2 linked regions of the Bombyx mori genome follow. The protein of the gene in region 1 purifies or fractionates together with the protein of each later gene. This does not show direct contact. Links are inferred from orthologs where the notes say so. Each region holds a gene or a part of one and is shown in the gene's direction. Other genes may lie near its edges.

Region 1 (3,957 bases):
TTTTGTGGGGCCTGCTGAGACTACTTTGCCCATGTTTTCTGAAAATCACTTATTAATTGAAAAATTACTACATAACAATTGTTCATGAACATATTTTTTGCCATTTTTTCCATCAGAAATGTTTAAGGTGATGATTTGCGAAGGTTGCGCAGTTACGAAAATTGATGAGCATAGCCGACGACTGGCTTCAATGGTGTATATTGGGGGAGACCTACGTCTAGCAGTTTGGACAGTTCTAGGACTTTGGGCTGATGATGATTTCTAATTGTAACAATATGTCATTGTAGGCAAAACATTCGCATTGAAAAATGAAAATATAGTCTGATGGACATAGTTTGTAAGTGTACAGCTGCTGCTAGATACATTACGACGTGAACCGACTTAAAAGAAAAAGTAAGTTATATAATTAAAACATAATGCAATTCATTCAAGCTGCGGTTTCCTAATGAATAATGTGTGGTCTCATTTAGCTCAGATATATTATTTTTTAAGAGTGGTAAAACTTTTTAAAATAAATTATATTTACCTATATTATGCAGAGGTTGCCGGGAAACATTTTTCACGGCCTGTCTAGTAAGGTGATCTCCAAAAATATCAAACAGAGACATTGTGGCTAAATCGAAGGTTAATTTCGATAGACTGATTTTTTCTATATCGTCGTTATTTGCTATTGTTTAACGAATTTCAAACGGCTACTAAAGTTCAGTGTTCACTCATTTTCAAAACAACGACGAATCAACGGCAAAGAACATATGTCATAGATTATAAACTAATAGAATGACCAGCCCTTGGCGAATAATATATTAATAAAAATATGTAAAAACAATATGGTAAAATATATCACAGTACCGTATCATAAATAAAATGTAAAAAGCTAAGAGTATTATTCACCCGTTTTAAACTATATTGTACAGCAGAGTACAAGGGAAAGTGGAGCCTAGTCAAGCTAGTAGAGCTCTTTTGTGGAATTTTATTTGAGAAAGGGACCCTGAGAATTGAGCCCGAACTAATCCCATCTTACGTTCTTACAATATAATATAATACCTATGTGTACAAATCAAAATCACTGGAAATATTATGTACATTTTACACAGTAGCATTGCGCCAGCCATTTTCCAAAAGTCTTGGCTGTATAGCATGCGTTCCTTTTGTATGTCAGCTGCAGCTGATGTATGTTTGAAAACATTTTTATAGGTTAGACAAATAAAAGAGTTTCTAAATTTCAAACTAATATATTACTTTGAAAAAGAAATTGCAATGTCCGGTGATAAATCATCTAAACCGAATGGACTGGGTACAGATCCCATGCAGAGGCTCGCTTCATTAAAAGCACCCAGAGATCTTATGCTTGGAGGAGTCAAACCAAACAAAAAAGTCTTCACACCTAACTTGAACGTAGCTCGGAGTAAAAATAAAGGGTGAGTTACATTCAGAATGTAAGAATACATTACAGAGATGGTTATTTTTTGCAACCACCACAATATCGCCATCAATTCTGGACACATTGGGCACTCGTTAAGAACTTCGCTTTCGTGAGGCACTGACCGAGCAATGTACTCCGTTGACGGAATGTGAAACTGCGAAACCATTATGCCTTGGGTGGATTAGTTATTTCAGTTATCAGCCACAATAACAAAATGTTCTACAAAAGTTCACAGTGCACATACATGACTTACTTGCAATCTGAAACCGCTCTATATTCTAAAATAATAATAACCCTAAACCATGGCTGCTGACAACTAACCGTAGTCAAGTTTGTAATTTTTAATCTTTGACTTAAAAAATAAGAAACATTGATTTCAAATGAAATATAATACCTCTAAAAACCTAAAATGCCAAGCTCACGTCATCCCCTAGTTAAAAAAAATCTAGCATCATCGTAATAATCTTAAATACTGCAACATTATGTTTGTATGCAATCATCATCATAATCATTATTTCCTATTAGCCTCTGCTGGGGTGTAGGGCTTGAATCAAATTTTCCATTTATATCGGTCTTGAGCAGTCTGTTCTAGCTCCTCCCACGTCATGCCCAAGACACCTAGCTCCTGTTCCTGTTTGTATGCAAGTTATAAAAAATCACAAATGTGGCTTTTAATCCTTTTACTACAGGAGGCTGACACGCTTCTGAACTGTCAGCATCCCTGTAAATATATAAGGTTGATTGTTTTTATTTATATATTACAGAGCCAGGTAAATGGATACCAGTGTCTTTAGACCACTACCACCACTTTAGCACACCACGAATGCCATGATTAACGTTTAGATATGAGGTTGAAGCCTCAATTATATTGTGGAACAGCTGCCCCACCCTTCAAACCGGGATGGAAATAGTGCATTACCACCATTAGTATAAAATTAGAGTTATTAATATATTTTGATCTAGTGTAATGAAATTAATTCAAGTATAATTATAGACAAGCAACAACAAGTGCCAAAGAAACAAGGAATGAAGAGAAGAACAGCAGGGATTCAAACAGGAACCGGAATTTTAACAGGAATCAGAGAAATGGGCCAACACTAATAAAATCTGCTGGTGTCTTCTCTGAAGGTTAACATTTTAAATAAATAATTTATTTGTCTTCTATAATCATTAGCTACCCATCAAAATAACTGATAATTTATTACAATATTATATTAACAATAATATACAATATTTTTGTTGTTGCTAGTCATAGGCATAATTAAAATTTACAGTTTAATATCAGGTTATGACCACAAAACCTCCAATGTATTCCAAACATTGGAAATAAAGTATTTATTATGTTTAATAGAGTTATTGATGATAAGAAAGTAGAATTACATGTAAAAATAATAATATATATAGTCAGTTTATTTTGCCAATGATGTTTGTGCGGTAATCACTATTACATCTATCAGAATACATTTTTAAAACCAAACTGTTTTGTTGCAATTGAGATGATACATTGACGTTAGTTCCTATAGATTTCACCTTACACAATGAATGAATTCATTTTCATGCCATAATTAAAAGCTATTGTTAAAAGTGAAATGACCATGGCTTCATACAACCGTATCAATATGTTAGTTTAAATTGTTTGAATGATTCATCATTTGTTTTTATAAATCCACGAAACATTCTTCCAATCTCCCGTACAACTGAGTTCTGTGAATCATAGCTACTAAATTAATACAAAATCATTAATCAATCATTAAGTAATGATGTTGAATTCAATCAATGAATGACTCTATTTTTTTTAATGATAACATTACATTCAGAACTTCACAATTCAGACAGGAGTAAGCGTTTAAAAATAGCTGAGCTTTATTCAGTTTGATTACTCCTAAAAATTAAATGAATACTGAAAATTAAGCCAGTCAATAATTAAAAACTCAAAGTAATTGATTACAGGCATCGGTTCATCAGAGAGGCATTCTTCAAGTCGCTCGTACTACGGGCGGGACACAGAAAAAACTACAAACATTATGAAGAAGCCAGCTATCAGAGTAAAGGATTTCGTGAAGGTATTTACATTTAAATTACATTCATCGGTTAATTTTGTTGTAATTAAAATCGTGTAATAAAAATAAAAACCGCAAAATTGTAATTTGCGTAATTACTGGTGGTAGGACCTCTTGTGAGTACGCACGGGTAGGTACCACCACCCCGCCTATTCCTGCCGTGAAGCAGTAATGCATTTCCGTTAGAAAGGTGGGGTAGCCATTGTAACTATATTGAGACCTTAGAACTTATATCTCAAGGTGAGTGGCGCATTTGCGTTGTAGATGTCTATGGGCTCTAGTAACCACTTAATAGCAGGTGGGCTGTGTGCTCTTCCACACATTAAAGCAATAAAAAAAAGTGACCTAAATCCACTATCTATATCTTTCTAGATCGACAAAGAACTGGAGGAGAAGAAGATAAATATGATTTTAAGAGGAGGCGATACTGACGAGCTGGAGTCCATCGACTTTAAGGACATCCTCGACAGGGAC
Region 2 (4,199 bases), on another chromosome or scaffold:
TTAGAATCGATTTACATATATAGGCCCGGGGTATGAAAATTATGGGGACCAAAATCGTACTAGCATGTCACACGAAATGCGTTATGCGCCTGATTGGCTCCTGATTGCGTGATGCGTGCGCGCGCCAATCAGGAGCCAACGCGCGGCCGCGTTATCGCAGGTGACGCCGGGCTGCTGCGCCGGCAGTCCGCCACAAAGCCTCGTACTGATCGCGCGTTTCTCTCATTATTGTATTTTCATATATTTGTTAGTCGTTTGTTTTGTGTCTCGTTAATTTGTTAATAATCTGTAGTGTATCGTGTTGTCGTAATATAGAACTATTTCTCGTATTGTTTCGTTTAATTTTTTATATCCAGTAAACTCCAGTCGTGCGTCGGAGCGGACACACACACTTTTTTCATTTCTTTCTGTTTCGATTTACATAAAACAGACACGACTTCACTTACTGTAACAAAAATTAGGATTGTATGGTCTTTGATCCTTTTGCCCAGCGAGTTGTCAATTCAAACAAGTAAAAACCTCTATTTATTTTCCAATACGGTACGGTACCGTACCGTAAAATGGGGCGATTAGGGACAAATTCCAACTTTATGAGCAATTTTAAGGTAGTTGTTGATGTATATAATGCTATATCAGGATCAAAATGATTGAGTCTTGGGGGCATCTTTGTTGTCTAATTTAAAATTATGCAACTAGCATTCCAGTTTAAGCAAAAAATGCAAAAATAGGTGTAATCTCTATTTACCCGAAAATTGCGGTTAATTGGGATGTAATGAGAAATTTGCTAGGGTTGGCACTATTTTTATTTTTATATATAGTTTTAATTTATTTATTTATTTAGTTGCACCAACAAAGTGATCATCAATAAAAAAAAATGAAAAACTGACAAAAGTACATGGCAGACATCACCTCAATTATAGGTGCAATCGACAGTGCTGATATTTCTATCTGGGTTAAGAGATTAGGTGTGTCGGTTATTCCATGGATTAATCAGATGAATACCCCCACTCTGAACAAATATTAAATATTTTATTATGTATTACTTAGACATTTTTGTCCACCTTGAGATTTCATTGATCTTGTTACATGTCTCTGCAAAATCGACTTACTTATATTAAATTGCTTATCTATTTCAAATAAAGACTTATTCCCAATTTCGCTTCGAATAAACCAGATATTTACCAACAAATTCAAAAAATATTGTTATAACTACATAGACAACCCTACAAACCTGTACCTATTTATACTTAGGTCGTTTCCATTTCACGTATTCTCATCCCAATTGACCCCTTTTTCGTTGTTATTTGTACCTAAGACGTCCCCAATAACCCCAAAAACAACAGATTTTTACATGTATTTTTATTTAATCAAATACATTAAAAGCAATAACAACTGAGACTTACCTTTAATATATATGCTGGTTCAAACACTAAATAACGTTTATAAATCATAGTCGTCTTCTATTATTATCAAATAAATAAAAGAGAGCAAAGTTTCTAGCACTAAAATAATGACCACCACAGGAAGTTAATTTGAAACGCGATTTTTTATAAGTTAGCAGCTATTATCATGCATATTCAGAGTTGTTTTGTGAACTTTCAACATTCTACTATTAAACTACAAAAAATGGAAGATTTTGCAACGAATATAAAACTTATATTGAGCGTCGAAAGATTTTCCCGGTTTTTTCCCGATTCGCCTGTCAATCCCTAATCGCCCCATTTTACCGGTACCGTACCTATGTACCTACATAAGTACAAACTTACATTACTTACTACATAGTCAAAGTTTAAATTACCTACTAAAAATTACTTAAAATCACTACTTAAGTGTATAATCTATGATCACTACCTTACGTAAAATCATCGAAATATTTAATTTTGTCAATTATATCTGTATAAAAATATGCGACAAACTTTATATACAGTAAACGTTACTGTATACCTGTGAAATAAGATAAAACCTTATTTACATTAATTAGTAAAATATTGCAAAAATGCCTAAATTCGATGAAAAACCCCGAGTTTTTCTTGAAGAATTCCGTGTTAAGGTTCTCCTTTAAATTGCAAGACTTATTTACAACGATAAAAATGCACATGATCATAACCTAATAATTTTTGCCCGTACAGAATGCACCCGAAGATTACGGATTAGACGATGAAACATGGGACTTCAAAAAGTTTGTGAAGAAGTTTAAGATAGTTGTAGTACGAATGGACAATTTCGAAATGGAATTTGACTTGATTGGGATCCAGCCAGCATTTGCGAACGCATTCCGGAGACTCATGTTAAGTGAAGTTCCTAGTATGGCTATTGAAAAAGTAATGATCAAGAACAACACTTCTATAATACAGGATGAAGTTTTAGCACACAGATTAGGATTGATTCCTCTCAAAGCTGATCCAAGATTGTTTGAATATAAATCTGAAGGTTTGTGTACAAATTATTACAAAGCCGAGACCATATGTGGGCATTCGTTTTGGAAGATGATTGTTTTCTGTGAAATTGGTTGTCTAATTATTTTTTATTTATCAATTACGTAAACTAGTACACTAATAAAACCACAAATATTCATTTTTCTAGTATCCTAAAATTGACAATTTAGAGCTGGAATGCAAGATGTTATTAAATACTCACTTTTATACCTCAATAAACATTTATATCTCATAATCAGTAAAGTTTTCACAGCCTAAAGGATAAGATGCCTGGTCCATTTTTATTATTGTAACTATGATGAAATAAAAAAAGTTAACAGAAAATAAAAGAATTGTTTGAGCAGCTCTTGTAAATAATTTGAAATTTTATTTTCAGAAGACACGGAAGGAACAGAATTCAACACTTTAGAATTTTCACTAAAAGTAAAATGTACCAATAGCAAGTCACAACCAAAAGATTCATATAGAGCTGAAGATTTGTATGAAAATCATAGTAGTGAGTTTTCTGTATATCAATATAATAATGTGTAACAAACAGCCTATTAATGTTTTTAATATAACAGTAGATCGCAGATCAGCATATGGCCCTGGTATTAAGCTTGCTGCAGTGCATAGATATAGGTGATTCACTCACATTAAGATATGGGATTGAAGTTTCCATTCCATAGCAAAACAGCTATCCTTACAAACTGGATTCCTTTGCAGTAGAAATGGACAAGATAAATTATGACTACCAATACCAAACTTATAGAATGTTACTGCCATTTTCTGGTAAATTTTTTAGCCACCTGTAACAACACCATGGTAAGATATAGAGTGGTATTGTTGTATGCTGATAGGACAGAACACAGAGCTGATTTTTTGAACTATGGACTAATCTATGAAATTTATATTTATAGTTTTTTTATATAATGCTAGATGATTTTGTTATTCTTAATACTTAGTTAATTACAAATATGTTTATACAGTTTATTCATCCCATATGAAGTGGCATCCAATTGGCAACCAAGCTACAGTTTATAAAGAAGCTGATGTGGGTCCTGTACATAAGGATATTCTTATATCAAAAATGAGACCTGGCCATGAAATAGACCTTCAAATGATTGCCGTGAAGGGCATAGGAAAGGATCATGCAAAATTTTCACCTGTTGGTTAGTCCCTTCTTATGAATATTTTATAAAATGAGATAAGCTTATTTTAATTATTAAAAAAAATGGTTTAACTAACATATCCATTTTATTCTACAGCAACAGCTACATACAGATTGCTGCCAGAGGTAACACTGACTCGTGAAGTTTGTGACAGTGAAGCCACACTGTTGCAGAGTTGTTTCTCACCAGGTGTTATTGGTATTGACTCTAAAAACCGAGCATATGTGAAAGATGCAAGATATGATGCATGTAGTCGTAATGTTTATAGATATGACACAATCAAAGATTCAGCAATCCTAAGTAGAGTTCGGGATCATTTCATATGTAAGTAGCCATATGTAAATTAATGAAATCATAAAAATGCCACAAATAATTACATGTGCAACAGTTTTTTTGCTATCAATGCTGGTTACCTCAAGGGGGTCTAGCTTCACCTAACGTGTAGGTAAGCTTACAGGCTCAGTCTGGCGAATTTGCTAACACTAGCCCTAGCAAGGGCAGTGCTTCTCAGAATCTACCACTGGATCGGAATCGCGACCCAGTGAGATGATCTGGTGAGAAACTAAGTGGGCTGTGTCTAAGGTTTAATTTACAAACCCAAAAATCTAAAAAA

Evidence for each region. The genes of interacting proteins can lie anywhere in the genome.
Region 2: the proteins of DNA-directed RNA polymerase III subunit RPC4 (region 1) and DNA-directed RNA polymerases I and III subunit RPAC1 purify together in Homo sapiens (affinity purification with mass spectrometry; 6 studies listed by BioGRID and IntAct, counting the BioPlex papers as one, with this or other methods). This does not show direct contact. The link is inferred for Bombyx mori from reciprocal best matches to the Homo sapiens genes POLR3D and POLR1C.

The regions. Positions count from the first base shown.
Region 1 is NC_085113.1:12,563,584-12,567,540, forward strand, and holds the start of DNA-directed RNA polymerase III subunit RPC4, read left to right. Parts: upstream 1-1,144; 5' UTR 1,145-1,257; coding exon 1,258-1,418; intron 1,419-2,417; coding exon 2,418-2,551; intron 2,552-3,373; coding exon 3,374-3,486; intron 3,487-3,855; coding exon 3,856-3,957. Other genes in the region: uncharacterized protein LOC101743779, read right to left, coding at 1-38, 527-608. UniProt on the Homo sapiens protein: DNA-dependent RNA polymerase catalyzes the transcription of DNA into RNA using the four ribonucleoside triphosphates as substrates.
Region 2 is NC_085131.1:5,578,885-5,583,083, forward strand, and holds the start of DNA-directed RNA polymerases I and III subunit RPAC1, read left to right. Parts: upstream 1-1,398; 5' UTR 1,399-1,996; coding exon 1,997-2,050; intron 2,051-2,129; coding exon 2,130-2,430; intron 2,431-2,811; coding exon 2,812-2,931; intron 2,932-3,403; coding exon 3,404-3,586; intron 3,587-3,682; coding exon 3,683-3,910; intron 3,911-4,199. UniProt on the Homo sapiens protein: DNA-dependent RNA polymerase catalyzes the transcription of DNA into RNA using the four ribonucleoside triphosphates as substrates.